Lonchura striata: one gene and its partner. The protein of the gene in region 1 purifies or fractionates together with the protein of each later gene. This does not show direct contact. Links are inferred from orthologs where the notes say so. Each region holds a gene or a part of one and is shown on either strand. Other genes may lie near its edges.

Region 1 (16,171 bases):
GATCCTATGGGGGATCCTCGGGATCCCAGGGTAGACCGGGATCTTACGGGGGTGGCCCGGGATCCTACGGGGGATCAGGATCCCAGGGCAGACCAGGATCCTATGGGGGTGGTCCAGGATCCTATGGGGGATCCTCGGGATCCTATGGGGGAGGATCGGGATCTTACGGGGGTTCCTCGGGATCCCACGGCAGGCCGGGATCCTACGGAGGAGGATCGGGATCCTCTGGAGGAATGGGATCCTATGGGGGATCCTCGGGATCTTATGGAGGATCAGGATCACAGGGCAGGCCGGGATCCTACGGGGGAGGATCGGGATCACAGGGAAGACCGGGATCCTACGGGGGTGGTCCGGGATCCTATGGGGGAATGGGATCTTATGGGGGATCCTCGGGATCCTATGGGGGATCGGGATCACAGGGCAGGCCGGGATCCTACGGGGGAGGATCGGGATCCTCGGGAGGGGATTGGGGATCCTCCGAGGGGGGCCCGGGCTCCTTCGGGGGATCCTTCGGGGGATCCCGGCAGCGTCCCGGCTACAAGAACCCCGGGATCCCCTTCGTGCCGGGGCTGCGGGACCCCGCCCGCATCGGGGGGCACATCCCGATCCGCCGCGGGCCGGGATCCGGTCAGGGATCGGGCCAGGGGTACGGGCTGGGATCCGGTCAGGGATCCGGTCAGGGGTATGGTTTGGGATCTGGTCACGGATACAGCCAAGGATCCGGTCAGGGATCCAGGCAGGGATCTGCCCTGGAATCTGCCCAGGGATCCCGCCCAGGATCCGCCCAGGGATCCGCCCTGGGATCTGCCCAGGGATCCAGTCAGGGTTACAGCCAGGGATACAGTTCAGGATCCGGTCCGGGATCCACCCAGGGATCCGGGCCGGGATCCGGGGCCGAGGACGAGGCCGGGGGCGGGAACGGCTGCGGGGGGTGCCGGAAGTAGGGGGGGGATGGGGGGAGGGGTCCTGGGGGATCCGGAATGTTCCGAGCGGATCCCCGAAGATCCCGAAGGGTCGGAGCCGGGATCGGGAGCGGGGATGGGGGAGGGGGGGCCGGAAATGGGGGGGAGGGGTCTGGGTGGATCCCGAAGGATCCCAAATAAAGGCTTGGATTGGGCCCAGCCCCGTCGCTGTGGTGTGGGACTGGGGGCACTGGGAGCACTGGGGATACTGGGAATGGGGGACTGGGGATACTGGGAACACTGGGAATGGGGGCACTGGGAGCACTGGGATGGGGATACTGGGAGCACTGGGGATACTGGGATGGGGGACTGGGGATACTGGGAATGGAGGCACTGGGAGCACTGGGGATACTGGGAATGGGGGACTGGAGATACTGGGAATGGGGGACTGGAGATACTGGGGAGATACTGGGAATGGGGTACTGGGAGCACTGGGAGCACTGGGGCCACTCTCAGTCCCGTCCCTGCCCCTCCCCCACTCCAGGCATCCCCTCCCCCCAAACCAGTGCTCCCAGTACGGCCCCTCCCCCCCAAACCAGTGCTCCCAGTACGGCCCCTCCCCCAAACCAGTGCTCCCAGTGCTCCCAGTACGGCCGGTTCCAACCACAAATTTGGGGGGACACGCCCGGGGTGGGGGAGGGGCACACCTGGAACCGCTGGAATTTGGGGGTCACACCTGGAATTCCCAGATTTTTTTGGGGGGTGCTCACCTGGATTGTCCGAAATTTTGGGGGGGGGGGGGGGGAATCACCTGGACTGTCCCAAATTTTTGGGTTTTTTTTGAACACCTGGAATGTCCCAAATTTTGGGGGGGTGTCCCCAAAACCTTCCCCCCCCCCCCCCCCGCAGGGAATGCCGGGAACTGAGTCACAGCCCCTCCCCCGCCCCTCCGGGAGCCTTTAAGAGCCCTCCCAGTGCTCCCAGTTTGCTCCCAGTTTGATCCCAGTTTGATCCCAGTGTGAAGAGGAGGGACCAGGCAGCGCTGCCAGGTACTGGGAGGGACTGGGAGCAAACTGGGGGAAACTGGGAATGAACTGGGTGGGGCTGGTGTGAACTGGGAGCAAACTGGGGGGAACTGGGAATGAACTGGGTGGGGCTGGGGTGAACTGGGAGGGCCTGGGCTGAACTGGGAATGAACTGGGATGAATTTGGAATGAACTGGGAGGAACTGGGAATGAACTGGGATGAATTTGGAATGGACTAGGAATGAACTGGGAGGCACTGGGATGAACTGGGAGGCACTGGGATGAACTGGGAGGCACTGGGCTGAACTGGGACCGAACTGGGAGGGCCTGGGCTGAACTTGGCTGAACTGGGAATGAACTGGGAATGAACTGGGAATGAACTGGGAGGCACTGGGCTGAACTGGGAGGAACTGGGAATGAACTGGGATGAATTTGGAATGGACTGGGAGGCACTGGGAATGAACTGGGCTGAACTGGGAATGAACTGGGCTGAACTGGGCTGAACCGGCGCTCCCCTCTGTCCCCTCCCCCCCCAGCCATGGCCGAGCGCCCCTCCCCCGCCCCGGGGCTCCCGCTGGCGCCGTGGCCGCCGCTGCCCGAGTGGCCGGGCCGCGACCGTCGCGACAGCGGCGACAGCGGCGACAGAGGAGGAGATGGAGGAGGAGATGGAGGAGGAGACGGAGGAGGAGATGGAGGAGGAGACGGAGGAGGCGACAAAGGAGGAGGCGACAGTCGCGACAAAGGAGGCGACAAGGACACCGCCCCGCCCCCCGGAACGCAGGGGACAGGGGGACGGGGGGGACGGGGTGACAGCCCGGACACCCCTGGGTGTGCCCCAGGTGTGCCCAGGGGTGCCCAGGTGTGCCCCAGGTGTGCCCCAGGTGTGCCCAGGGGTACCCCAGGGGTGCCCAGGGGTACCCCAGGTGTGCCCAGGTGTGCCCAGGTGTGCCCAGGTGTGTCCCAGCGATGGCACCGCTGTCCCTGACACCCCTGAGAGCAATAAAGTCCCCAAGGAGCGTCACCAATTGTCTCCAGGTGCCCCCAGGTGCCCCTAAAGTGTCCCAGGTGTGCCCAAAGTCTGCCCAGGTGCTCCAGGTGTTTCCCAGGTGTGCCCAGGTACCCCTAAACTGTCCCCAAGGTGCCCCAGGTGTCCCCAAGGTGCCCCCAGGTGTGCCCAGGTACCCCTAAAGTGTCTCCAAGGTGTGCCAGGATGTCCCTAAAGTGTCCCCAAGGTGTGCCCAGGTGTCCCCCAGAGGTGCCACCGCTGTCCCTGACACCCCAGATGTCCCCAGGTGTCCCCAAAGTGCCCCCAGGTGTCCCCAGGTGTCCCCAGGTGCCCCCAGAGGTGCCACCCCCCCTCCCTCGTGGCTCCCGGGGCTGATTTTGGGGTTTGCCCATTTTTCTGGGAGAATTTCTGAAGATTTTTGGGCGGATTTTGGACTTTTTGGACGAATTGCGTCCACTCTTTCAGACAAACTGCAGCTGACTTTTCGGGTGGAATTCAGTGATTTTGGGACAAATTTCGTGCAAATTTGGGAAGAATTTCTCTCTATTTTCCGACCATTTTGGACCGATTTTTGGGCAGTTTTTTCACCATTTTTCACCATTTCCTGGCCACTTTTGGACCAATTTTCTGCCCATTTCTTCCACCATTTTTTTTACCATTTTCTGACCGTTTATTCCACCACTTTCCCCACAGTTTTTGGGCCACTTGGCCATTTCCTCGCCATGTATTTCACCACATCCTGACCTTTTTTTTCACCATTTTTTCTTCCTTTTTTCACCACTTTTGACCATTTTGGACCTTTTACCGCCGATCTTTCCACCACTCTTTTTCACCATCTTTCCACCGTTTCCCGACCGTTTTCGCACCGATTTTAACCCTTTTTTTTGCCCATTTTTTCCCCCATTTTCTCCCCCGTTTTCCCCGCCCTTCCCCGTCCCCATGGCAACGGCGCCGCGCGCCGGTGACGTCACGCGGTCCGCCCGCATCCCACAATGCCCCGCGGCGGGAAGGGGGAAGGAGGGCGGGGAGGGGTCCTCCAGTATCCCACAATGCCCCGCGGCCCCGCGGGGAAGGGGGGTCCGCCTGCATCCACAATGCCCCGCGCCGCCGCCGCCGCCGCTCGCTGCCCGGGCCCGCCGCTCAGCCGGTACCGGGGGGGATGGGCACGGCCCCGGGGGAGGGGGAGGTGGGGGAGGGGAGAGGGAGGCGGTGGGGGGGGAGGGGTTGTGTGTGTGTGTGTGTGTGGGGGGGGGGGGGTTTGGTTCAAGGGGGGGGCGCGGTGACGTCACGGCGCGGCCTTGGCGCGCGCTCCCCCCCCCCGCCCCCTCCCCCACCCGCTCCCTCACTCCCCTCCCCCCCCTCCGTCCGTCCGCAGGTGCAGCCACGTGACTCCCGGAGCCTGCCCCACCCCCCCCCAGTGCTCCCAGTAACTCCCAGTAACTCCCAGTGACCCCCCCAGTGCTCCCAGTAACTCCCAGTGACCCCAGTAACTCCCCCAGTGCTCCCAGTAACTCCCAGTAACTCCCAGTGACCCCCCCAGTGCTCCCAGTAACTCCCAGTGACCCCCCCAGTGACCCCCCCAGTGCTCCCAGTGACCCCCAGTGACCCCCCCAGTGCTCCCAGTGACCTCCAGTGACCCCCCCAGTGCTCCCAGTAACTCCCAGTAACTCCCACTGACCCCCCCCCCAGTGCTCCCAGTAACTCCCAGTGACCCCCCCAGTGCTCCCAGTAACTCCCAGTGACCCCCACTGACCCCCCCCCCCCCAGTGCTCCCAGTCCCTCCCAGTCTGTCCCAGTCCCTCCCAGTTACTCCCAGTCCCTTGGCAGTTCCCTCCCAGTCCATCCCAGTCGCTCCCAGTCGTTCCCAGTGCCCATAATTCCTCTCCCAGTCCCTCCCAGTCCCCATAACTTGGCTCCCAGTCCCTCCCAGTCTCTCCCAGTCCCTCCCAGTCCGTCCCAGTCCCCATAACTTGGCTCCCAGTCACTCCCAGTTCACTCTCAGTCTCTCCCAGTACCTCCCAGTGCCCATAACTTCCCCCCCAGTCCCCCCCAGTCCCCCCAGTCCACTCCCAGTCCCTCCCAGTCCCGCCAGCCCCCCAGCCCCGCCGGCGCCATGTCGTCGTGCGCCGAGGTGCTCCGTTTCCAGCTGCCGGGCCACGAGGCGGCGGCGCTGCGCTCGATGACGCGGCTGCGGGCGGAGGAGCGCTTCTGTGACGTCACCATCGTGGCGCGCAGCCTGCGCTTCCGCGGCCACCGCGTCATCCTGGCCGCCTGCTCGCCCTTCCTGCGCGACCAGTTCCTGCTGAACCCGGCGGCCGAGCTGCGCGTCTCGCTGGCCCACAGCGCCCGCGTGCTGGCCGACCTGCTGCTCTCCTGCTACACGGGCGCGCTGGAGTTTGCCGGCCCGCGACCTCGTCAACTACCTGACGGCCGCCAGCTACCTGCAGATGGAGCACGTGGTGGAGCGCTGCCGCGGCGCGCTGGCGCGCTTCATCCAGCCCGCGCCCGCCGCGCCCGCGCCGCCGCCCAAGCCCGAGGAGGACGAGGACGAGGAGGACGAGGAGGACGCGGCGGGCGACGTCTGCATCGTCAAGGTGGAGCCGGCCACGCGGCGCCGCGGGCGCAGGTGGCCGGCGGTGACGGGCGGCGAGGCGGCGCAGAGCGGCGCGGCGGCGGCGGCGGACGGCGGCGCGGCGCGGCTCGGCGTGGTCAAGGCGTGTTACAGCCTGGCCGAGGACGCCGAGGGGGAAGGTTTGGTCATCTTCCCCGGCGGCGGCGGCCGCGGGCGGCGCGGGCGGCGCCGAGGAACCGCCGGGCGGGCACGCCGGCGCCTCGGCGAGCGCCGCGGCCTCCGCGGCGGCACCGGCGGCACCGGCGGCGCCGGCGGCGGCGTCGCGGTGCGGGAAGTGCGGGGAGAGCTTCCAGGGCGTGGAGAAGCTGGTGTTTCACATGCGGGCGCAGCACTTCGTCTTCATGTGCCCGCGCTGCGGCAAGCAGTTCAACCACAGCAGCAACCTGAACCGGCACATGAACGTGCACCGCGGCGTCAAGTCGCACGGCTGCGGCGTCTGCGGCAAGAGCTTCACGCAGAAATCCACCCTGCACGACCACCTGAACCTGCACAGCGGCGCCCGGCCCTACCGCTGCTCCTACTGCGACGTGCGCTTCGCCCACAAGCCGGCCATCCGCCGGCACCTCAAGGAGCAGCACGGCAAAACCACGGCGCAGAACGTTCTGGAAGCCGGCGGCGCCGAGGGAGGGGTGCTGCTGCGGTGACGCGGGGCGGGGGAGGGCCCGGCGGGGTGGGGGGCGGGGGGCGGGGGGGGTTTGGGGGGTGCTGGGTCCTCTCCCGGGTGAGGAAGGGGGGAGGGGTGGGGGGAGGGGCGGTGAGGGGTGGGGGATGTGCAGGGAGTGACCGCTGCGGTGGTGGGAGTGACCACGGAGTGACCACTGAAGTGGTGGGGAGTGACCCCCCCAAAGTGGAGCAGAGTGACCCCAAAGTGGTGAAAAGTGACCCCAAAGTGGAGCAGAGTGACCCCAGAGTGGAGCAGAGTGACCCCAAAGTGGTGCAGAGTGACCCCAGAGTGGTGGGGAGTGACCACTGGACACTGGATCCCTGCTGGACACTGAGGGAGTGACCGCTGGGGTGGTGGGAAGGAAGTGGGAGTGACCACAGAGTGACCACCGAAGTGGTGGGGAGTGACCCCAAAGTGGTGCAGAGTGACCCAAAGTGATGAAAAGTGACCCCAAAGTGGTGAAAAGTGACCCCAAAGTGGTGCAGAGTGACCCCAAAGTGGTGCAGAGTGACCCCAGAGTGGTGGGGAGTGACCACTGGACACTGGATCCCTGCTGGACACTGAGGGAGTGACCACTGGGGTGGTGGCAAGGAGGCCACAGTGGTCAGGAATGACCCCAAAGTGACCCCAGAGTGGTGGGGAGTGACCACTGGACATTTGATCCCTGCTGGACACTGAGCTGGTGACCGCTGGGGTGGTGGCAAGGAGGTCAGAGTGACCATGGAGTGACCACCAAAGTGGTGGGGAGTGACCCCCAAAGTGACCCCAGAGTGGTTGGGATTGACCACCGGACACCTGGACCCTGCTGGACATTGAGAGTGACCACCGGGGTGACGGTGGCGACCTCAGAGTGACCCCCAAAGTGACCCCCAAAGTGACCCCTGGACATGTGGACACCGTGACCCCGAGTGGGTGACCCCCGGGGTGATGGCAACGAGCCCAGAGTGACCAGAGTGACCACGGAGTGACCAGAGAGTGACCAGAGAGTGATCACAGAGTGACCAGAGTGACCACGGAGTGACCAGAGAGTGACCAGAGAGTGATCACAGAGTGAGCAGAGTGACCACGGAGTGACCAGAGAGTGACCAGAGAGTGATCACAGAGTGACCAGAGTAACCATGGAGTGACCAGAGAGTGACCAGAGAGTGATCACAGAGTGAGCAGAGTGACCACAGAGTGACCAGAGAGTGACCACAGAGTGACCATGGAGTGACCACGGAGTGACCCCTGGACACCCAAATCCTTCCTGGAACAAAGTGGGGAGACCCAAAATGGGGAGGAACAATGACAAAATCAGGGAAATGACCCCAAAATGAGGAGGAATGACCCCAAAATGGGGAGAAAGGACCCCAAAATATGGGGAAAGAACCCAAAATGGTGAGGAAGAGCCCCTGGGTGACAAATTTTGGGGTTCCTGGGCCACCTGAGTGACAAATTTTGGGGTCCCCATTGAAAATCCAGCTGGAAAAAACAGGGAAAAAACCCAAAACCGGCAAAATTTTGGGGATTTTGGGCAAAATGAGCTGAATAAGGCTGATTTTTTTGGGGGCATCCCCCCAAATTTGGCCTCTCTGGGTAAATTCCGGGGCTCTCAAGGTCTCGGGGGATTTTTGGGGGGTCCCCCTTGATGTTTTAGGGATTCCTCCCAGATTTTTGGGGACTCCCCTGATTTTTTTGGGGATTCCCCCAGATTTTTTGGGGGGTTTTGTAGATTTTAGGATTTGGGGACCCCCTTAGGTTGTAGTGAGGGGTGGGGGAGGGGAAGTTTTTGGGGGTGGGGGAGGGATTTGGGGTGGGGGAGGTGACCCCAAAATTGGGGTTTTTTGGCGGGGGGTTTAGGGGGTAGAAAGGAGAATTTTGGGTCCCTTTTGGGGGATTTTGGGGGGGGGGGTGAGACCCGTTTTGGGGTGGGGGAGGGGCGTGGGACCCCTCCCCCAACCCCGGAGGTTTTTTTTGAATTTTTTTTTTTTTGTAATAAATGGATTTTGAAAAAAATTTTAAAAATGGGTTTTTAGTTGTTTTTTGGGATTTGTTCATTTATTTTTGGGGAATTCATTTTTTGTGGGGGTTTCTTTATTTAATTTTGGGATGTATTAATTTATTTGCAATTTATTTTGGGGGAATTACTAATTTTTGTAGGAGTTATTTATTTTTTAGGGTTTTTTTTCTTTTGCATTTATTTTTTGGGATTCATTTTGGGAAGATTTATGAATTTAATTTTTTTGGATTTATAAATTTGTATGGGACTTACTTTGGGGAATTTATTTTTTGGCATTTATTAATTTTTAGAGATTGGTTAATTTTTGGGATTTATTAATTTTTAAGGATTAATGACTTTGACATTTGATTAATTTTTAAAATTTAGTTGTTTTTGGAGGATTTTTTCCATTTTTGGGCATTCATTAATACAACTTTGGGGGTTTATTAATTTATTTGGGATTTATACATTTTTGGGGGGGTTTATTATATTTTAGAATGTACTAGTTTTTGGGGATTGGTTAGCTTTTATTGATTCATTAAATTTCTGGGATTTTTTTGGGCAATTTCTGAATTTTTATGAGTTTTTCACTTTTTCGAATTCATTAATTTTTGTCCTTTCCTCATTTTCGCGGATTTATTCGTTTTCAGCGCCATTTTTTGAGCCCTTTCGGGACAATTTGGGGGGTCCCGAACCACCAGGACCCCCCAAAATTCACATGGGCGTGGCCTAAACACAAAGAGGCGTGGCTTAAGGCAGTGGGCGTGGCTTAAAACGAGGGGAGTGGCTTGGCTCGGTGGGCGTGGCTCACAGCGAGGGGGCGTGGCTTCGCTCGGTAGGCGTGGCCAATCCGGCAACACAAAGCCCGCGCGGTGGGCGTGGCTTCGCCCATAAAAGGCGCTACGCGCTGCGTGCTGACGTCACCGCGCGCGGCGATGGAGGCGGCGGGAGGCGCCGAGGTCTGAGGGGAGGCCGAGCCGGGGCCGCTCTTTGGGGCGTTTTCGGGCGGTTTGGGGTTTTTTTTGGGGGGTTTTGAGAGGTTTTGGGCATTCGGGCGGTGGCTGTGAGCGGGGGGAGGGGCGGGGTCCGCTGGGGGGAGGGGCGCGCCCCTCACGGCGCTCTCTGCCCCTCCCCCTCCCCCTCAGGACCCTCCCGGCGGGACCCTCGTGGTGGAGGCGGCGGGAGAGGCCGGTGAGTGACCCCCCCCAAATTCTTATTCGCACTTTGGTCTCCACTGAGACCCCCCTGAGATCCCCCTCAGATCTGCCTCAGGATCCCCAAAATTCCAATCAGGATCCCAAAATTCCAATCAGGATCCCCAAAATCTCCTCAGGATCCCCAAAATTCCAATCAGGATCCCAAAATTCCAATCAGGATCCCCAAAATCCCCTCAGGGTCCCTCAAAATCCTCTCAGGATCCCCCAAAATCCCCTCAGGACCCCCCAAAATCCCCTCAGGATCCCCAAAATCCCCTTAGGGCCCCCCAAAATCCCCTCAGGTTCCCCAAAATTCCCCTCAGGATCCCCAAAATCCCCTCAGGATCCCCAAAATCCCCCTCAGGATCCCCAAAATCCCCTCAGGACCCCCCAAAATCCCCTCAGGATCCCCAAAATCCCCTTAGGACCCCCCAAAATCCCCTCAGGATCCCCAAATTCCCCTCAGGATCCCCAAAATCCCCTCAGGATCCCCAAAATCCCCCTCAGGATCCCCAAAATCCCCTCAGGACCCCCCAAAATCCCCTCAGGACCCCCCCAAATCCCCTCAGGATCCCCAAAATCCCCTTAGGACCCCCCAAAATCCCCTCAGGATCCCCAAAATCCCCTCAGGATCCCCAAAATTCCCCTCAGGACCCCCCAAAATCCCCCTCAGGACCCCCCAAAATCCCCCTCAAGACCCCCCGAAATCCCCTCATGACCCCCCGAAATTCCGCCCAGACCCCCCCAAAATGCCCCAAACCCCCCCTGACCCCCCTTTTCTCCCCCCCCAGGGCTCCCCCCGGGCAGCCCCTCCCCCTGTGACCCTCCCCCCCCCGGCGGGACCCCCCCCACAGCCGGGGGGGCCCCCCCGGACGAGGAGGGGCCGGGGGGGGGCGGCCCCAGCGATGGGGAGGGGGCGCAGGGGACCCCCCCCGGGGGCGGCAGCGGCTCCAAGGGGCTGCCAGGTGAGGAGGGGGCGTCTGGGGGGGATTTTGGGGGGGCTGGGGGGATCTGGGGTGGGTTTTGGGGGGTCTGGGATGGGTTTTGGGCGAGTCTGGGGCAGTTTTGGGGGGTCTGGGGCAGTTTTGGGGGGTCTGGGATGGGTTTTGGGGGAACTGGGATGGGTTTTGGGGGGTCTGGGGTGGGTTTTGGGGGGTCTGGGGTGCGTTTTGGGTGGTCTGGGGCAGTTTTGGGGGGTGTCTGGGGATTTTGGGGGTCTGGGGCAGTTTTGGGGGGTGTCTGGGGATTTTGGGTGGTCTGGGGGCGCTTTGAGGAGGTTCTGGTGGGGTCTGGCAGGATCTTGGGGACCTGGGGTTTTTTGGGGGATCTAGGGGGGTTTGGGGGTTTTTGGGGAGGGTCTGGGGGGTTTGAGGGGGTCTGGGATGGATTTTGGGGGGTCTGGGGCAATTTTGGGGTGGGTCTGGGGATTCTTGGGGGGATTTGGGGGGTTTGGGGGTGCTTTGGGGGGTTTGAGGGGGGTCTGGGATGGATTTGGGGGGATCTGGGAGGATTTTGGGGGGGTTGGTGACATTTTGGGGGGGGTCTTCATGGCTTCTGGGGTGTCTGGAGGAGATTTTGGGGGGATCTGTTAAATTTTGTGGTGGGGGGAAATCAAATTTGGTTTTTAAATCAACCTGGGGCTGTCTCTGAGCTATTTTTGGGGGGGGTCTCCCCTTTTTCTTGCCCTCAGGCCACGCCACCAAGACCCTGCCGGGCTCCCCGATTTTGGGGGGCGATTTTGGGGGTTCTCCTCCCACCCCCTGCCCCCCCCCAGCCGTGCCAAAATGTCCCTGACGGGGGCGGGGGGCGGCAAAACCCCCCCGGGCCAAAGCCTGGCCCTGCGCCTGCTCAGCCTGCCGGGCTCGGGGGGTCCCGGGGGTCGCCCCCCACCCCGGAGCCCCCCCAGAACCCCCCGGAGCCCCCCCCAGAACCCCCCCGAGCCCCCCAAAATTCACCGAGCTCGCAAAACCATGGCCAAGCCCAGCAACGGACAGGTACGGGCTGGCTCTGGGGGGGTTCTGGGCAGGGGGTGTCAGGGGTTTGGGGGGGTCTGGGGGGTCTGGGGGTTTTGGGGGACCCCCGCTGAGGGTTTGGGGGTGTTTTTTGCCCCCCTCCAGGTGCCCGAGAAGCCGAGGATGTCGGAGATGCTGCACTTCAGGGTGTCCGAGGAGCTCTGCGGGATGGGGCAGCACCACGGTCTGGGGGGGTTTGGGGGAATTTGGGGGGGTCCTGGAGGGGATTTGGGGGGTCTTGAGGAGGTTTGGGGAGTCCTTGCGGGGTTTGAGGGGTGTTGGGGAGGTCCTGGGTGGGTTTGGGGGGTCCTGGGGAGTCCTGGAGGGGTTTGGGAGTGTCCTGGGGAGGTTTTGGGGGGTCTTGGGGAGGTTTGGGGGGTGTTGGGGGATCCTGGGGGGTTTGGGGTGGTTCTGGAAGGGTCTGGGGGTTCAGATTTGGATCTGGGGGTTCAGATTTGAGTCTGGGGTCTCCCTGACCCTCTCTCTTTGCCCCCCCAGACACCCCCAAACGCCCCAAGCTGGATTTTGGCTCCGAGGGGCTCCACAAGCGGCTGCAGCAGCGCCCCAGCCCCCGCGCCAGCACCGAGGTACCCAAAAATCCCCCAAAATCCCCCAAATCCCCCCAAAATCACCCCCAGGGACCCTGCAGCGCCCCAGCCCCTGCACCAGCACCGAGGTACCCAAAACCCCCCAAAATCCCCCCAAAACCACCCCAAAAACCATCCAGGACCCCCGCAAATCTCTCCAGAGCCCCCCAAATGCCCCCTTAACCCTTCCAGGATCCCCCTAATCTCCCCCAATCCCCCCCAGGACCCCCCAAAATACCCCCAAAATCCTCCCAAATCCCCCCGTGCCCCCCAGATCACAGTGATGGAGGAAATGGCTGCCCCCGAACACCCCCAAATCCCCCCAGACATCCCCAGATCCCCCAAATCCCCCCAAAATCCCCCCAAGTCCCCCAAGCATGCCCCAGGACCCCTCAAAATCCCCCCAAATCCCCCCCAAATCCCCCCCAAATCCCCCCCAAATCCCCCCCAAATCCCCCAAACCCCCCCAAATCCCCCAAATCCCCCCAAACCCCCCCAAATCCCCCAATCCCCCCAAACCCCCCCAAATCCCCCCCAAACCCCCCCAAACCCCCCCAAATCCCCCCCAAATCCCCCGAGATCCCCCAAACCCCCCCAAATCCCCCCAAATCCCCGAGATCCCCCCAAATCCCCCGTGCCCCCCAGATCACAGTGACGGAGGAAATGGCCGCGCCCCCCCGGGACTGGGACTCGGAGGGGGGAGGGGGCTTCTCCCTCTTCTACGACGGCTTCAGCGTGGATGGGCACGGGGACTCGGACAGCAAGGTACTGGGAGGGACTGGTTTGTACTGGGAGGGACTGGGAGAGGGGCTGGGGGGACTGGGAATGGAAATCTGGGGGACTGGGATGGACTGGGAGGGACTGGGATGGACTGGGAGGAACTGGGAATGGAAATCTGGGGGACTGGGAGGGACTGGGAGGGACTGGGATGGACTGGGGGGAACTGGGATGGACTGGGAGGAACTGGGAATGGAAATCTGGGGGACTGGGAGGGACTGGGATGGACTGGGGGAACTGGGATAGGCTGGGAGGGACTGGGAATGGAAATTTGGGGACTGGGATGGACTGGGGGACACTGGGATGAACTGGGGGGTGCTGGGGGGCTCGAGACCCCCCGACTCAGCCCATCCCCTGCTCAGTCTGAGGGGGACGGGCCGGGCGAGGCCCTGAGCGAGGAGGAGGAGGAGGAGGAGGAAGAAGAGGAGGAGGAAGAGGACGAGGAGGAAGAGGAGGAGGAGGAGGAGGAGGAGGAGGAGGAAGAGGACGAAGAGTCCGGGAACGCCTCGGATCGGGTGAGGGGATTTGGGGGGAAATTTGGGGCTTTTGGGGAGGATTCGGGGCAGGTTTGGTGGTTTGGGGGGGTTTTTGGGCAGTCTCAGGGGTTTGGGGGCCATTCTGGGGGATTTTGGGGCACTTTTGGGGGGTTTGGGGTCATTCTCTGGGGTGTTTGGGGCCCTTTTGGGATATTTGGGGCGTTTCTGGGGAGTTTTTGGGTCTGTTTCTGGGTTCTTGGGGCCTTTTGGGATATTTGTGATTTTGGGCTGTTTTTGGGTCAGTCTCAGTGTTTTTGGGACGTTTGGGGCGGTTTTTGGCTCAGTCTCAGTGTTTTTGGGGCTCTTTTGGGACATTTGTGATTTTGGGGCTGTTTTTGGGTCAGTCTCAGTGTTTTTGGGGTGGTTTTTGGCTCAGTCTCTGGGTTTTTGGGCCGTTTTGGACATTTGTGATTTTGGGGCTGTTTCTGGCCCCGTCTCTGCGTTTTTGGGGCTGTTTGGGGCTGTTTTTGGCTCAGTCTCTGGGTTTTTGGGCTGTTTTGGGACATTTGTGATTTTGGGGCTGTTTTTGGGTCAGTCTCAGTGTTTTTGGGGTGGTTTTTGGCTCAGTCTCTGGGTTTTTGGGGCTCTTTTGGGGTATTTGTGATTTTGGGGCTGTTTTTGGGTCAGTCTCTGCGTTTTTGGGGCCGTTTGGGCTGTTTTTGGCTCAGTCTCCGGGTTTTTGGGGCCGTTTTGGGGTGTTTGTGATGTCGGGGCTGTTTCTGGCCCCGTCTCCGCGTTTTCGGGGCCGTTTTGGGCCGTTTGGGTGATTTTGGGGCCCCAGAGCGCGTGCAGCGCGCGGCGCCGCGGGCGGCGGCGCTGGAAGGAGAGCCCCTGGCTGAAACCCGCCCGCAAGAGGAAGAGGAAGGACCCCCGGGGGGGCAAGGACCGAGGTGGGACCCCAAAACCTGGGGGGGACCCCCAAGTGGGGAGGGGGACCCAAAAAATGGGGAGGGGTATCCTGAATTGGGGAGGGGAATCCCAAAGTGGGCAGGGGATCCCTAAATGGGGAGGGGGACCCCAAAATGGGGAGGGGGACCCCAAAATGTGGGGGGGACCCCAAAGTGGGGAGGGGACCCCGAAATGAGGAGGGGCACCCAAAAAATGGGCAGAGGGATCTGAAAATGGGGAAGGGTACCCCAGAATGGGGAAGGGGACCCTGAAATGGGGAGGGGGATCCAAATTCGGGTGGGGATTGGGACACGAATTTGGGGAGGGGGGGGGGTCTCCAGGGAGGGAATTTGGGGAGGAGAGTTGGGACAGGATTTTGGGGAGGGGGGGATTGGAGTGGGGATTTGGGGAGGGGTCCCTGGGAGGGGATTTGGGGAGGGGTCCCAGGGGATTTAGGGAGGGGTCCCAGGGAGGGGATTTGGGGAGGGGTCCCAGGGGATTTAGGGAGGGGTCCCAGGGAGGGGATTTGGGGAGGGGTCCCAGGGGATTTAGGGAGGGGTCTCCATTGAGGGGATTTGGGGAGGAGAGTTGGGACAGGATTTTGGGGAGGGGGGATTGGAGTCGGGATTTGGGGAGGGGTCTCCATGGAGGGATTTTGGGGTGGGGTCTCAGGGAGGGGATTTGGGGTGGGGTCCCAGGGAGGGGATTTTGGGGAGGGGACTGGGGGAGGGGTCTCCATTGAGGGGATTTGGGGAGGGGTCCCTGGGAGGGGATTTGGGGAGGGGTCTCTGGGACAGGATTTGGGGAGGGGTCCCAGGGAGGGGATTTGGGGAGGGGTCCCGGGGAGGGGAATTTGGGGAGGGGTCTCTGGGACTGGATTTGGGGAGGGGTCCCTGGGAGGGGATTTTGGGCAGGGGTCTTGGGGATGGGATTTTGGGGAGGGATCCCAGGGAGGGGATTTGGGGAGGGGTCCCCGGGAGGGGAGTTTGGGGTCTCTGACCCCCCGTGCCCCCCAGGCGCCCCCGGCCCCCCCGTGGGCCCCCCCAGCGAATACACCGAGGTGCCGCTGGGCTGCCTGCAGCTGCCGGGGGGAGGGGCCCTGAGCCCCCAGCCCCCAGGTGAGGACACGCCCTTCCGGGACACGCCCCTTTGGGGACACGCCCTTCCGGGACACGCCCCTTCCGGGACACACCCACTCTGGACACGCCCTTCCGGGACACGCCCACTCTGGGACACGCCCCTTCCGGGACACGCCCCTTCCGGGACACGCCCCAGGACACGCCCCTTCCGGGACACGCCCTTCTGGGACACCCCCCTTTTGGAAAATGCCTCTTTTTGGAGACACGCCCCTTCCGGGACACGCCCCTTCCGGGACACGCCCCTTCCGGGACACGCCCCTTCCGGGACACGTCCTTCCGGGACACGCCCCCAGGACACGCCCAGCACACCTGGGCGCGCCCCTTACCCACCCTGTCAGGCTCTTGGCCACGCCCTGATCCTGCCCTGGCCACATCCTGCCCCTGTCACACCCTGACCACACCCAGCCCTGACCACGCCCATGGCCACGCCCTGACCCCACCCATGGCCACGCCCCGACCACGCCCATGGCCACACCCTGGCCACACCCTGGCCACGCCCATGGTCACACCCTGATCACGCCCATGGCCACGCCCTGTCCATGTCACACCCCGACCACGCCCTGACCCCGCCCCTGCCCCTCCCAGGCCCGGCAGAGGCCGAGCGCTTCGAGGAGCTGCCGCTCTGCTCCTGCCGCATGGAGGCGCCCAAGGTGGAGCGGGGCGGGGACCGCGGGCTCTGCATGGCCACCGAGAGCGTGGACGGGCAGGTGGGCACACCTGGGCACACCTGGGGGGCATTGGGAACACACCTGGGGGCACCTGGGGGGCATGGGAACACACCTGGGCACACCTGGGCACACCTGGGGGCATTGGGAACACACCTGGGTAC
Region 2 (16,389 bases), on another chromosome or scaffold:
TTTTCCTCATTGCTGCCTAGTGATCTTAGGTAAGACTATAAAAGGTAGATGTGAGGAGCTTTTAAAGACAGGAGTTTTTTACAAACTGTGTTCAAACTATCCTCACTTCAGTGAGCCAGATGACAAAAATACAGTAACATCAACCAAAACTGCCACAGGCATTTAGTTACTTTCTCTGTTTGATTATGCATGAGTTGAGATAATTTTGATTTATTAACTTTATTTTGTTGCTTTTAAAAATAATGTATGTTCTGCAACACAAAATAATTAATACCAAAATAAAAGATAGTAATTGTGACTTTGTGTATTTGACTTTCTAGAGGAAACACTCATTCCGCATTACATTCCTGTAGAAAGATTGATAGAAACATATCCATGCCCTTCTAAAACACCATCTCCTTATGTGAGTACAGACAATGAACACAGTCCAAGATGAAACAGAGGCTTTATGGCAAAACCTAGTGAAGTGTTTACTAGTGAATTTACCCTTGTCTATTGATAGCAAAACTTGTATTATGATACCAAATGATCGCCAGTGAGCAGCTGCTAAAATATAACAGAGAAAATCCAGTAGAATTCAGCCTATCCTAATACAGGCAAACTTCTGGAATAAGGCCTTTTGTCCCAGGGCCGTCAGTCTAAACAACAAGGCTATTGACTGCATGTGCCAGCCTTTGTTACTGGGGGCTACCTGAAAAGATTAAAATTGCATGAATCTGCAATTTCAGATCCATCAATTCTCAGCTGCAAAACCTCCATCTGTAAACTGACCCAGGAGGAGCAGACTGTTGACTTAAGCTTCTATCTTAAAGGGTCATACTGTCATAGTCTATCCCTAGGAAACAAATTAATTTCCAGTGCTAGTGCTAAATAAGTCTCAAGAATCTGTAACATAGTTTTGATCTTTCATATTGCCACATTTATTACAAAAGGTCTTTAATTCAGCCACGGACCATCAGTCAAATGAGTAAGTTCTTTAGACAACAGAAAGGAAACAAAATGGGAGGCATTCAGACCACTTCCTCTTCCACTTTGTCATAATTTTACTAAGCTATATACTGACACGAACATGCTTCTCCAAAAAGGAACTGTTTGTGAATCATCTCTAAGATAAGCCACTAAAGATTCCTTACCTTTAGCACCTCTTCCTTTACAGAATATATTATTATTTTTGTTCAGGCTACATTGAATCCAGAGTGAAATCTGCAGGCTAATGATGAATCAAGTATACATTTTACTTTCCCTTCTCTATGCTGAAAGGCAGCTTGCTCAGTTTTGTGAAGTTTTTCAAGCACTAAGCCTAACATTAGCATAATATTCTTATATGAGTCAAGCTTCTGGTAAGAAGTACTGGTAGAACTAGGCTGCACTGCAGTGTACTGAAAAAATCTACATTATGATGATTACAGGAAAACTAAATTTTCCTGGTTCCAGCCAGGACAGGGGTAATTTTTGCAGTAGCCAGGAGGGGCATGGCTAGGACCCAAAGGTTATTCTGTACCACCTCATATAATTTTTCAGGGATGGGGAAGGGCTCCCTTCCGAGTCGGCATAGCGTGGTAGAGGGAGCGGTTGACTATTGTCTATTGTCAAGAAGTTTCAATGTGAATAGTTTGGGTTTTGTACCCTCTGTCATTAGTATTATTGATTATAGTATTTGTTTTCCTATCTCATTGCTGTTTCCAATATATTGGTATTGAATCTTCAAATTGAAAAAAACCCATAGATTTCATATTGTTTATTCATAAAAAGGCATTTCTATTGCTTTAGAAGATAGCTTTACATTGTTAAGTTTTTCCTTTTTCAGTTCTTTAAGAAGATTGTGAGACTTTTTTTTTCTCATCTGAATGGAAAAAAAAAGATGTTTTTCAGTCTTTCTCTAATTATCAGAAGAAACACCCTGTTCTTTCTCAATGTTTACAAATGTCTTTATTTTCCTAAAGGAAAACAGCTAACAGTTTACCACCCAAATTAACATTCTCTTCATTGGAAAACACTGGTTATAGTATTTGGAAAAGATTGATAGGCCATGTTGAGAAAAAAAATGCTGGAGATATTTACACTCTTGAAAAGTCAACCTGTAAATACTATACCCATAAACAGAATAAAACCCAAAGTTCTCTATGAAAAATATCCTGCATGAGCTGTAGCAGAACATGTACTTCATTAAAAATCTGTAAGGCTCTCTGCATTCTCTGTAAAAACATAGAATTTCAGATGTCCCTGTTCTCCACGTACTTACTCATTCTAAAGTGTACTTAGTCATAAGAACACAAATTACAAAATCAAAGAGAAAAGCAAAGAATGCCTGTCTTTCAGATACAGTACCTACATTTCCATCAGTCCTCAACCTACAGCTTTCTTAGATTATGACACCTCCTTTCAAAACTGAAGAGGACATTCCCTAATTTAATGTTCAGGTAATGCACTCTTCATAATGATCATTACATTGACTATGAGAAAAAGCAAATTGTTATGGCTGATCAGACATTTAAAGTGTTCCATAAGGATAAAATTATCCTTCATCTTTACTCCATGCTCCCATCCCAACCCAACTATTTAGCTAGGATTTTGTTTTCTTAGTCCTTTTATAAACCTGTTCTTATCCTCACCAAGGCAAGGGAAGCTCATTCCAGTGGTATGACAGTACTACTTTGAATAGAGCCAAGGAGTTCAAGGAGGTAGCTAAAAGTTTTTATCTCTGATGTGGATGTAAACAACTAAACACTGCTGGTGACCAGTAGGGTGGGCTGAAAGGGCAAGCAATGCAATTGCACAAAATTATTTTTATTTTAGATGTCCAGTTTGAGACTATTAAACATAAAATCATTTTAAGTTATGTAGTATTGGTACATCTTCATTTTCTATGTTTGTTCTGTGATCAGCTGTTCAAATTGCCTTTTCCATTGTGCTTTTGCCTCATTCAAGGCAAAAATCCTCTTCTAGGAATAAATCAGAAATATGCAGAACATATGTAGACTAACCGGGGATGTAAACATATTGATCTCATCTCTGTCAGCATTGGTTTCACAGCATCCATAGTCAGGGGTATCTATGTCTGTTATGGATGGAAGCTGCTGCATGTAAGATTCCAGTTTCAAGTGTAGCAGAACTAGAAAGGCAGGTGGTGAAAGTGTCAGGAGAATGCACAAAGAGAAAAGCAGGTCCTGTAGATAAAACTTCATTCTGTCCCATGTAATTTAGTTCTAATTCTGTTGTAAAACTTCTATTTGACACTAAGCAAGCCATTAAAGCATAGTAAAGCATAGATTCTAAATATTACTTCGGAAAGCCAATACAAGATATTGGGTATTTAGCCAGAGGTACAAAACCATCTAATATTTACACCTGTAAGAAATATCAATTAAAAAGCTACTTTAAAAGTAAAATATACTATCTTTTATTAAGTTTTTAAATCTAGGCCTCTTTAATTGAATGTCAGAAGTCAGTGGACAACTCTGACAATATTTGCAGTAATGTCATGTATTAGTTCTAAATGGGTAGAGAATGGATATCAAAATCCCCCCCTTATTTAATGGGCATATTGCAAAGAAAAATTACTGGTTCTTAAAAAAACTGGAGACATGGAGTCTGTCGTTGAACTCCACAAGGAAACGGTGGTGTATTGATCACATTCTTTCAAAGCAAAAATTTGGGGAAACTGTCCTTATCAATAAAGAACTAAATACCTTTTTTTTCAGTCCAAAAAATTACCAAGAATATATTAGTGTAAATATTGCCATTCCATTCTCCAGTTATTTAAACTGGATTCTGTTACTGTCTTAATCTAATTTAGAATCAATGTTTTTCAGATCAATGGAAGGAATGTCTCAGTAGTTTAGAGAAATAGAAGGTCCTCTCTCCCAGACTTTCATGTAAAGAATCTAGTTCAACAGTTGATTCTTCAAGTGACTCCACTTTCCTCCATGTGTCTAAAAACTATCAAACTTTTATCTTCCTGAAATGACCTCTCTTGAAACTGCACCCATTACAAAATGGGAAACATAACTCTCAGCTCTGGAGTGTGGGAAGTACACATTGCAAGAAATACTTTTTTCTATCATTTCTCTTTCTCATTTTTAACTTAAACATCTCAGACCACTTAGAAGACAAGATACTGAGATGGAGATGAGGAAGAAGTGAGGAAACTCAGAGGGAAAGAATTTACAGAGAATAACAAATTACAAGAATGAGCCACACCCCAGAAGTTGTGGGCAAATGAACATAGGATCAAACTAGGAGAGAAAAAATATTAGGTGCAAAGGGATATTATGCATTTCAGACCAAAACTGTCAACATAACTTGGCCATTACAGAATTTTAAATCATCCAGTTGTCTTAGACCAAGAAAGACTGGGTTACAGAAACATGAGTAGGATTAATCTCAACTTTCTCTAAGCAGTTGCAGAATAGGTGACATGATTCTGATCATTAAAAAAAAGTCAACAAGAAAAATGAAATTTAGACTTAGATTCAGCTGACTAGACATAGGCATCTGCATTAGGATGAGATGAATCATGCTGGGAATTCCACCAATGATGCTGATTATCTTTCCTTTAACTGTGAAAAGTGCATTGGATGATTGGATGAGGTGTTAATGCCAGCACAGACCAGACCATCCCATTTAGCCATATCAATCCCGCCTTTTGAAATCCTGCAGTTAATCACTGGCTGCATCTCAAGGACTAAATGCTTCCTTCCTAAGCCTTACTCCCAAATACTAAAAGGCAGATAATCAGCTTAATATAACCAAACAGAAGCTACTGACAGTCACTTTATTATCAAAGTTATGATCTTGTGGGTAAATCCTTGCATATTAAATACTTCTGTGATCCCTTTGCTAGAGCAAATTCTAGATATGTAGATCCATTCCCATCCAATACAGATCTCCATGATATTTTCAATACTGTAAGGTTTCAGCTAGCTGTGACCTACCACCACAACTATTTCAAATTCAGCTGTTCCACCACCTATGACGATCTTTGTAGACATTACAGTGGCACACAAAGAGGTCAAAATTGAGTTGACCTTTCAAAGGAACTTGATTCCATGCTCTGTATTTCGCCCACAAATTAGAACATTCTTTATTCAGCTAAACAGAACAATTGTCCTCCTGACTTTACCAGGAGCACCACTAGGGCAATTGTCCACTTCAAACTGGAAGCTCTGTATGCACATTGCAAAACTTCCTGCCTGGCTGACATTGCCTGGTTCTTTCCCAAGGTGCATTAACTGAGGCTGTTCAACCACCTCTGAAAACACTTACTGCCACTGTCAGAACTCAAACTGGTCTGGCTTTCCAGTCTTCGTAGACTGCTCCATTACTGCATTCCATATAGCTTCTCTTCTGGAGATATTTACATGCAATGTTAGGAAAGCCATTTAGGAAGTTGGCAGTAAGGCTGGCTTCAACAAACAAAATACTGTTGAAATTTGATGTGTCCTGCCTACAATGAGGAACACATGGAACACCTTAAGAAGTAAGAAAGAAACAATGATTTCAACAATTCATCATGCAACATTTGGACAACTTGATTTTTTTTTTCTAGAGAAAGCAAGATGAGAGCAAGCTAACCTTGTGTAACAAAATCCAACTGCAAAAACCCATCACAAAAACCTAGTACCTCTCAGATGCTTGAACCACAACACTATCAAATGGTATTTTTGAATAGTGTGATTGTTTCTCCTGAAAAGTTTTACCAAGCAACAAGGACAAAAGGTTAGAATGGAACGCAAAAAAGAATTAATGGCAATGCAAGCAATGAATATGTGTAAAAGAAGAAATTATTTCGCTGAATTGTGGAGTGTGGTCAGAACACTAAAAACTAGAGTTAACTGAATTTTGGCTCTTTCCTTGAGATACGACAAATGTAGAAGTACTGATCAACAGTACTTCTTTTGAACCATCCAGAAAATCAAACTGCTTAAGAACTAGTTTACTGCAATGGTGAGACCCTTAGTACAGATCAAGATGCTCTATTTTTATGTCTTTGCAAAGTAACATCTTCAGCAATCACTGCCGCCATCTCTTTGCTATCATGTGAATACTGATTATCTTCAAGGGCTGTCCTTCAAAGGGAGGCTCTAACAGTGACATTACTCTGTGTACAGCTCAAAGAGGATTCGGCCCACCCCTTAGGGATGGCAATTAAATGCTCATCTCCAGAAGGCAATCACAGAGTTTACTAAATCTTAACCATCTTAGTTTTGTATGTAGGCCCATCCTTCCACCAATGATCCTGCTCCTGTCACTGAAGGACCCCCTCTTTCACCAGCTTAGATTAAACCTAGTCCTTAAAGATATCAAGGAGTGGATTAAAAATCTCTTTGTAGACTAGTTAGAAGATCAGGAAAGTACGAAAACTATGCAAGTTCTTAGATATTTTATCTGCACAAATGACGTCCATCTCGAAGTCCAGTATAGAATTTCAGTTGTCCAAATGAAGGATGTTGACCTTGGAGACATTGACATATTTGTCATAAGGAATGGGCAGATTAATCAAGTCTGAGAAAGGAATCTCTAGCTCTTTCTACATAAATCATCCAAAGCCCATAAATGGACCAACATTTTCTGAATGACTATCTGCTGGACGACAGTCCAAAACTCGTCCATCAAAGTAGAACATTTGAGAACATTTTTTTTAGGAAGACCTTTGAAAGACACTGAAGGAAAAAGTAAAAACTTTGGTCAAAAATGAGTTGACTCAATAGCTTGATTGATTACACAAATGCGAGGAACTCTACGCCAACCTGTGCTGTTCTGTGGCAGAGAACGGCTCCCTGGTGTGGAACGGAATAGGAAACACTTGCTGGAAAAAACAATGTGGTATGACAGAGCACACAGCTTGGCATTCCTGTCCTGACACTGGTTTTGTCCCAGTCTTCAGCCCCTTTGAGATCAGAAACTATTCCTTGAAGAATTTTCTCTCAAAGAAGTAACTCTTACATCTACCTTTGCATAACAAAGCCTTCCATTCATCAGGTCCATGGCTAGCTCCACAGCACCTCATGTGAGGCACCCCCAGATGACACACCAGGTGCCAAGAACAGGTTCTGTCGTGTAACTAGGGATGGACTCATAAGCAGGTCAACAGTTCAGCTACATTCTGTTGGCCCATCATCCCACGGAGGCCTTGGCGGGGCCTTCCCGGCTTGGCAAACACGGTCAGCCGGGAGATGGAAGGCACATATCCGGTGTTGGCAGCCTCCGTCGAGGGCTGTTTAGTTTCTTTTACGGCAAAGGCATCCAACCAAGGAAGTCGGGACGGGGAAGAAGCGCGTGCAGACGCGTTATGTATGGCACTACCGCAGGGCGATGGACCGGGCGCTGGTGGAGCCCGCGGGCATTGGAACGCGGAGGGTCGCGGCGGGGCGGCCACGGGGGGCTGCGGGCGGGAGCTCGGGGGCGTGACGAGGGCCCTGCACGTGCGTGGGGCCCCGCGTCCTCCCAGCACCGCCCCGCTCCAAACTCCGCGTCCGTCCCGCGGGCACATCCCGCAGCCCCGCACCCGCCCGCTCCTCCCGCTCCCATCACCCGCGGTTTCGCGGGCGCGGCCCCGGGCGCGCGCCCCCGCCGACCCCCGCGCGCCCCCGCCGGGCTCAGCTGAGCAGACAATGGGAGATCAAAGCCGGGATGGGGTGGGGGGAGGAGGAGAAGGAGGAGAAGGAGCGGGAGGAGGAGGATGGTGCCGGGCGGCGGCGGCGGCGGGGGGGGGCGGCTGGTGGAGCCGGCGGGGCGGAGAGCGGTGGTTCGCGTGTGTCTCTCTGCGCTCGATTAGTGTTCCTGGGGAGGGAGCGAGCGAGTGTAGCCGCCGGCGGCCGGAGGGGTGCGGGGGGGCGGGGGGGGCGAGCACGCGTGTGAGTTCTGTGTGCGCGGGTGCGCGCGGCTGCGTGCTCCCGCGGGCGCGCGCGCGGGTGCGTGCGCGGCGGGCTGTGCGAGGGCGAGCCGAGAGAGCGAGCGAGTTGCGCAGCTGCCGTGCGCGCACCCCCCCCGCCGCCGCCGCCGCCGCCAGCGCCAGCAGCAGCAGCAGCAGCAGGGGCAGGAACAGGAGCACCTCACTGGCATTTAACGAGCGGAGCTGCTAGTTGCGCTGGAGAGAGACGCGCAGGGAGGAGGAGGAGGAAGAAGAGGAGGAGGAGGAGGAGGAGGAGGACGGGAAGAGGAGAAGGAGGAGGGGAAGAGGAGGAGGAGGAGGAGAAGAAGAAGAAGAAAAAGAAGAAGAAGAAGAAGAGGAGGGAGAAGAGAAGGAGGAGGCCAAACGGACACCAACTGAAACAAAAGTATTTCCAAACCAGCACCCAACTCCACCTTGTGAGGCTCCCACAGCATGGCTTCCGAGGAACTCTACGAGGTAAGAGCCCTCGAGCCCCACCGGCCCTGCCCCCGGCCCCGCCGGCCACCCCACCCCACCCCGGCGCACCCGGGCGCGTTTTTGTTGCTCCCCGGGAGCGCCGCCGGGCTTGTCACCCACACTTGCCGCGGCTGCTGCCCCTTCCCGCTGGGCCCGGCGCCTGCGTGTGTGCCCAGCCTGGCCCCCCGCCCCCCCTTCCCTCCCCAGTTTTACTGGAGGAGGACGGAAATGTGACTGAACGGAGGAGACGGCAAAGTGTTGCCGTGGCCTGCGCTCCCCCCAGTCCTTTCCCCACGTTCACACAACACTTTGACTCCGTCAGGAGAACGGGGGGTGCTGGATGGGGCGAGCAGCGCTGACAGCCCCGGCAGCGAGCACGTCGAAGTGCGAGCCCGGCGCTGTGCAAAAATGTGAGCGGAGCCGAGTTATTGCCTCTGTCCGGGCCGGGGGGGGCGGGGGAGGAGGAGGAGGAGGGCAGAGGGGCTTTCCTCTTGGATTTGTGTCCATACCGAAGTCCTGTGCCACCATCGTGTGCCTTGGCCGTGCAGCAAGCTGCGGCGGTGCAAAAGACTAAAATTTAAACTCCTCGGCTCTTCGTGCTCCAACGATAGGGTTGAGGTTGCGAGAGAAGCCAAAAAGATTGAAAGTTAAGGCTTTGACACGCCATCCTTCGCTCGTCACTCGGGAGGTGGTCAGAGCGTGTGCTGACGGGAGAGGAAGGTCTTGGGGTGAAGAAGGGAACAAGGTGGCAGCCTAACTTTTGAGTTTCCTATCTTAATGTCTGTCAAATTCACATCCTTGCCCTTAATTGAAAAGCGTCATGGTTCTCTTGGATTGAACTTCCTTGTTTTTATTTTTGCAAGAAGTCATCCCCGGGAGTGAAAAGCCATTGTTGTTTTGGAGCTGTTCTTGCCTTTTGGGTAGAGAAGTGGCTTCCCAAAACCAAAAATGCTCTTATCTGATATTTAATATGCATCTAGACAGTGATCTATTTAAAACATGTATCCAGAGGCTGGAACTCTTAAGGTTAAAAGGAGACAGATAGCCTTCAGGACACTTGACAGAAGATGTCTTGCTGTACAGCTGGTGCACATGTATCTCTCATTAATTGAGCTACATCTGTGATGCCATTGGGGAACAGACCCTGTAGAAGTCAGTGGAAGGTGTCCCAGGTGGGCTTGTATTTTAAGCAAGTTGACTGTCAAGCAGAGGTGCTGAACTGATAGACTAGAAAGAAGACCGAAGGCCTGTACTCCCAAGGCAGATAAATCATGGTTAATTGATCTGGCATGTTTCCCCATCCTCACGATGTAGCTTAAGCCAATCTTGAAGGGATCATCCCTAGAAGTAGGAGAGAAATTTAGGAACCACTCTGTGTCTTGAGGGATTGCCAAAAACTTGCTTTGACTTTGGGAAAAGTTTCTGTTGGGTTTGTGGAGTTGGGCCTGTAGACTGTGCCGCGGCCAATTCTTGCTCTTTGTGTGTTGCTGTGTTAGATCAAAGATGGACACGAGGTACTGGTTTTGATGGGCGCAAATAAATGACCTGGAAAATTCTGTTTGCCGGGCCTTGGACTGAGGCTAAGAATGACCGTTGTGCATGACTCTTCTTGGCTGTCTTAAATTGTGTTCAAAATGTTGACTTGTTGGCTCAGTAGTCTGTGGGGCACAGTCGTCCTGTGGGCAGGTGGTGTAGTGGCCATTGCACAAAAGCCGCTTTTGAAGAACACCTGAAGGGATACTATTAAATTTTAAAAATCAGACACATTCTTTAATCGTGCAAGTGCAAAGTTTAGCTAAGATGCCAAAATTGTTAATGCTTTTGGACTCACATGTGGTCAAGCTCTTTTTTCTAAATTGTTACTCATTTTGGATGTGTTTTGTCTTATAATGAATTTTCTAGCCATGTCTGAAAAATTATAAAATAATAAACTATTTAAATACAGTGAGCACTAATTTGGGAAGGACAAAGCTGCAAGTTGACCTGAAATGTTACTTATTAAGAAATTTAAACTGTTTTGTGAACTGCCTGTGCTATTGACGGTGGGTTTACTTCTGTTTCGTGGTTGTCTTATTTATAGCTCATGCTCAATATTGTTTGAATCTGGTGTTTGAAATCTGCTGCCATTTGTTATACTTCCATTTTTCCTTTTGGATCTTGATCTAGTGTCTTGATCAAAAAAATGTTGTGTAATCTATTTGCAATTGTTAGCTTAAGTATGAATGCCAACTATTTCTGCTGATATGTGTCATGGTTCTTCCAAAATACAAATGAAAAATCTGCTTATAAAAAATTAAGGTAAGTAGATTTTTTTTTTTTAATCCTAATGGATTCACTTATTTATGGGATTCTTTTTATTATGGGTGTCATCCCTTAAGAGAGGGAGCTGATCTCTATGTAGGCCAGTGATTTCAAATTCAAAGATCAAAACCTTGAAATCTACTAATAGATTGGCAGTGTGACTGGGGCAGGCTGTGTATCCTCAATGTCATTTGTTCCCATGCATTTTAGAGGTGGTGATGACTACCCACTATTTTTTTTTTTTTTTTTTTTTTTTTTTTGCTGGGGTAGAAACATTGAAGAGGCTCTTTTTGCCTAGATGGAAAATGCAGCAGTCAGTAATGTTGCCAGTCTCTGTACATGAGGTGAATAACCTTTTTCTGTTTTCAAGTTTGTTTCTTCAAGGGACAAAGTGTTTGCTAGTGAGGTGGACAGACATGGAGAGGCTGGTGAGCAAGATAGGTGACGGAAAATGTAAGAAAAGGTGCATTGGGTTTTTATTTCCCCAAGTTTGTTTCAACAGGCATTGTCATCTTGTGGCACCTCTTTTTGTATGTGCCTGCTGCGATTTTTTAGTGTAGTTTTTGAAAAATCCTTTGTACAGCCTTCGGGCAAATGGTAGGGTTACTTTCTTCTTCAGTGTGACAACTTTCCTTTGACTTACTGACCTGTTTCCCACTAAACATTTTTACTTGTTCTCGTCATCTTCACCAGAGTAATTAGAAGTAGACCTCATTTCCAAGGTTCTTTTGGAAGCAAACTATGTTTGCTCTCTCTGCAGTCAAATCCCTTGACCTCCTTTGGCAAACTCTTGCAAGTGATGTCTGGGATTGAAGTCATCCCGAGTTGTGGTTGGCATGGCAAGTTTGTTTGATGAAATGTGGAAATGATTCCATACAAGTGCTCTGTGGGAGAACTGCGTGCTAGCCAGCAGGTCAGACGTACCAAATCGGGGTCGGTAGACAACTACTAAGCTGTGCTGAGTTTGGAAGAGTCTCTTTCTCATAAAATTTAATAATTTGTTTTTGTATTAGGTGAGGTGGAAATGCATTGATGTTCTCTGCTGTTGGACAGTGTATCTAGTCAAATTACTGAGTATTTCTGCCTTTCCTCAGGGAGCTACTGGTACAGCTGATACCCATAATATATGTGGCCCACTGGATCCTCTGGCTAGGCTTAGGCCATGATTGCTACTCATGTCAAAACATTTTTACTGGATTTTACTGATAAGTAAGCAAAACAGTTTGTGTGACCTTTGCTGGTGCACCTATGCCATGATGCCTTCTCTTCACTCTGTTTTTCACATTGGCATTGGTCATAAACCTAGTGTTTTAAGGCGTCTTAACCAATTTCCATTAAAATATTACAAATTAACATATTGAAAGTCCATTACTTCAAAATTACAATTTTTTTGTATCCTTTATAGAATGGAAAATATATTTTTTTTAATTCTTTCATTGCCTTGCAAAAAACATACGCATTTTTTCATACTGTTGTCTAGTATTCTCAAGGTGATACTTCACTCCAATGATGATTCAGTACTTTTGGTTTTATTTTTAGAACTAAAGCCTTTGACATTAAATTATACAGATACAGTGAAATTACAAACTGAAACAAATTTCAGGAGCAACTGGCTGAAGTTCTACAGCCTGGCATTAAGCTATGTGTCAGGCTTAATCACCTAATAAGTAAGCCCAAAGAGACGTATTCCAAGAAAATTTAAACTTTGTCTATAGAGTAGTTGCCCACAAGTCAAAAAAAGTGGTCCTGTGGGCTGTTCTTCATCTAGTGTGCATAGTTTTTTAAACAATAGCGTGTAGAAAGAAGGCTGTTGGAAGATGCTGTCACTTTGTCAAAAATTTGATGCTGCATAGGAATTACTTAAACCCAAAGTTTCTCTCACGGCCCTAGTAACACTGCAGCGATGGAATCTTCATCATGTTTTGTGTGCATTTACTGGAAAGTTTAAACATTCGTTTTACCTAAGTTAACTGAAAGGGTAAATCCATTATCTACAGTATGCAGCTTAGAGTTGTAGTTTTTGATGGCTATTTGATGAAAAATTACTATTAACAACAAATTAGAATTGGCTGTTCAGGCAATAGCCATTTTTTTCCTCATTGAAATGGATTGTTTTCATTCAGCCTGTTGTGCAGGAATTCCAGATTGTCTTAGGATCTGTCTTCTGCTGCTTGTTTCTGATGTGCTGATTCCCAAGACCTTGGTTAAAGATCTTGTTCATTAGGAGGAACTTACAGTCATTGAGGTGTAATGCCTGAATTTTTATGAGTTTATTTTGACAACTGTTGGAAATGTTACTGCTTGTTTCAGGAGAGATAAAATACACAAATTTGCTTGACTGACCCTACCCAACTAAGTAAGACTAGGAATTTACATCAGATATGTTTGTGTTGCTTCCACCCCTTAGGAACTACACTTCTGATTTAAAACAGAGTTGAGGATTAGCTGTTCAACTTCCATGGGTGACTTTCACTTCTTTAAACCAAAGCACGAATGCAAGAGCACTGCAGGAATGGAGCCATCACATTTAGTGTAAGAAACTTGACTTTTCCATGTCCCTTGCCAAGCTGCTTTTCACCACCTTGATTAGCCCCAGAACTCTGGACAAAACTGGGGACTAGTGCCCTGTCTGCTGCTGCTGCTCCAGGGGAAGTGCCTGAGCTGCCCCTGGGGTTTTCTCCAGTGTGCCCTGCCCTTCATGGTGCCACTGACCTGGCAAGGCTGCTCCCAGGGTGAGCTCAAACACATGCAAGCAAAGAGTGAACGTCTGTCTGTGCCCTATGTGGAACACAAATGGTTCACAGATACGGAGATATCTTAGCAAGTTTTATGAACAAAACTCCTTTCTATGTACGTGTACAAAATCAGTATAGTAAATAAAAGGTTTTATTTTTAATCTATTACTTATTTTGAATTGCTCATGTCTATCACAGAAAAAAAAAACAAACGGTGGAAGAGAGAAAAAGTGGGAAAGAGACGCCTCATCCATAAAGCCTGCGCGGCTCTGATAATACCTAACCTTCACAGTCTGTCTTTTACTGTGATTTAATTTCTTGAGTTTTTGGTCAATCAGAGATTTATTACTGCAGTGCCAGTCACGTTTAGAGTTAAAGAACAACTACTTCCAACTTGCAAGACTGTACTATCACAGAAGGTTGCTTCCACAATGCTGATGCTCAGTACCTCTTGAATGAAGATAAATTATCGGACACAAAGAACTTAATGAGACATGCCACAGCCCCTTGTTCTTCAGGAAGGTTGGCATAGCTGGAATAAAATCAGTGATGCTCTGTCCCTTTTAGACTTCCTAGTAGGTGCAGCTTCATTTCTTCCTGACTGCCGCAGCATTTCTGATCTGTGCCAAAGCAGTAGAAAAAACCAAGTTACTAACAGTTATGCTTTCATCTTATTCAACCTATGTGATTCATTCAGACTATGTGATAACTGGATGTGCAGACCTGTTGGATATAACAGATAAGCAGCACTATAATGCCACTCTTATTCTTCTGTAATAAATTCAAAATCTGTTGTTACTGGGCAGTGTATTATTTTTGTGTATCTGTTAGAAGCACAAGCTCCACAAACCGTATTTGCAGGGTAAAAAGGGATGCACAAGTCTCTCCCTGTTCTCTTCTGTGTCTTTGAGGTTTTGAATGGCTGGATGCCACATGATAGATAGTATGGGACAATAAATACAGAGTTGATTATATTTTTAATCTTAGAAAAAAAATATTTATAATTCACAATATCAACCTATCATCCTACCATGTGGTTTCTCTGACAGTATGCTGTTAGTCCAGAAAATATCTTAAAATTTCAGTATTTTATATTATCAATTGTATTTTCCAGAGCTGTAGGATCTAAGAAGAGCTTTTATTTTTCTGATTTCTGATGAGCTTTTAATATTTACACACAAGAATTTTGTGCTTTTTGAAATTATTCCTTTGAACTTCTCTCCATATTACTTAGAGGAAAGGAAATCTGGCATGTTACTGGCAGTACACTGTAAAGGCAAAAATATTTACTGTTTTCATAAACATCCTCAGAAGATTTACATGTGGTCCTTAATGGTGACCTGTGGCAGATATTTTTCAAGGCATCTATTAATATGTATGAATACACAGGATGGATGTTGATTAAAAAGCATATTTTAATCATAGGTTTACATTTTTAAGTTACTTCAAAGCCACATTGGTAGGATTAATTGTAAAGTAAGGCAACTATTTTCTAAGTCTCTTTTAACTGTAAATTAGTTGTATTGAATAGTGGAACTACTGTAACTCAGTTTTGTTGTGATTTTTCAGTGAGGCTTCACATTTTACTATCACAATACATACAATTAATTAGTAAAGCTCAGATCAAATCTTTCTTCTTCCCATGTTAAGTCTGAGGGTTTGTTTCACTTCTTTTGTGGGGAAAGATAAAGTATGTATTGAAGTGGCCTAACCACATTTGTAGCTGTGCTTCTCTAACTTTTCTGCCCCCACAGTGTCTTATGCTTTTTAAGGAAATTGTTAATGTTTGTTTTTTGCTGATTGTCATAGTAGCACATGAAAAATCAAAACTCTGTTGTTTTTTTAATATATTGGTTTGAAAGGGAAGGAGCTTCTTTTCTCTCTTCTCTTCTCTCTTCTCTTCTCTTCTCTTCTCTTCTCTTCTCTTCTCTTCTCTTCTCTTCTCTTCTCTTCTCTTCTCTTCTCTTCTCTTCTCTTCTCTTTCTCTTCTCTTTCTCTTCTCTTTCTCTTCTCTTTCTCTTCTCTTTCTCTTCTCTTTCTCTTCTTTTCTCTTCTCTCTTTGTGATTTTCATTTTGCGGAGACATTTAAATACTTCTCTAAACATCTCCACTTCCTGTAAAATCCTGGATTATGGAAATGTGCTTCATTTAGGAAAAAAATTTTTGCTTTACTTTGGAGATGCCACAGTTTAATGCACGTTGTGGGAAATATATTGTGATGTATTTATCACAGAAAAATGTTTTACATGTACATTTTGTAAATAGGGGAGAAATTTACATTTACAAAATTTACATTTTTTAAATATAGGGAAAACATTGAGGTACATTTTCAAGAGTGCTGAAATGAATATATATAAATTTCAAAATACTTTCAAGACTATGATGTGTTGAATGTTGTATTCAGTGGATATTCAAAAGTTGGTAATTTATGAAGTTCCTTCCATTAAATGCAGTTCTTCAATGAAGCATCATCAGGATATTGATAACATTTTTGTTACCAATAACTAGTTGTATGAAGGGTAGAAAACAATACAAAATAAATTTGTGAGAGTCAACTGGAGTATAGTTTGGCTAGTTGCTAAATCATGCTAATTTGTTATGTTTTTATTTCAGCACCTCATTTTCCCTAGTTCTGTATATATGTAAAGCACATCTTGTGATAGCATAGTGTGACAATTCCATTTTACTTCTAGGGCTGAGGTTACTTACAAAGTTAAAACCAACAGACCTGGGATTGTGTCTGTAAGAAATAATGGGAATGTAAGGCTCTATATACTGACACAAAAAATCCATCCAGTTCAGCACCTGGCTCTTATCACAGGTCCATAATGTCTCACTGTAGAGAGAAAAAATGGGAAATGTGGCACAACAGTCATTGGGAGTTTCATGACTGGCTTTGTTGGGACAAGGCAGATTTCAGCCTTGGTTATAAAATACTGCATCATAACCTGAGCTGCCCAGATGTTCAGAGCCCACATTCATTACCTGCGCACATCTGTCAGG

What was found.
Region 2: the proteins of EHMT2 (region 1) and CDYL purify together in Homo sapiens (affinity purification with mass spectrometry; 4 studies listed by BioGRID and IntAct, with this or other methods). This does not show direct contact. The link is inferred for Lonchura striata from reciprocal best matches to the Homo sapiens genes EHMT2 and CDYL.

What each region holds. Positions count from the first base shown.
Region 1 is NC_134631.1:95,768-111,938, forward strand, and holds the start of EHMT2 (histone-lysine N-methyltransferase EHMT2), read left to right. Parts: upstream 1-9,142; coding exon 9,143-9,166; intron 9,167-9,352; coding exon 9,353-9,398; intron 9,399-10,194; coding exon 10,195-10,381; intron 10,382-11,093; coding exon 11,094-11,397; intron 11,398-11,520; coding exon 11,521-11,599; intron 11,600-11,913; coding exon 11,914-12,002; intron 12,003-12,647; coding exon 12,648-12,767; intron 12,768-13,141; coding exon 13,142-13,294; intron 13,295-14,096; coding exon 14,097-14,205; intron 14,206-15,219; coding exon 15,220-15,321; intron 15,322-15,927; coding exon 15,928-16,049; intron 16,050-16,171. UniProt on the Homo sapiens protein: Histone methyltransferase that specifically mono- and dimethylates 'Lys-9' of histone H3 (H3K9me1 and H3K9me2, respectively) in euchromatin.
Region 2 is NC_134603.1:94,243,938-94,260,326, reverse strand, and holds the start of CDYL (chromodomain Y-like protein), read left to right. Parts: upstream 1-7,917; 5' UTR 7,918-8,326; coding exon 8,327-8,350; intron 8,351-16,389.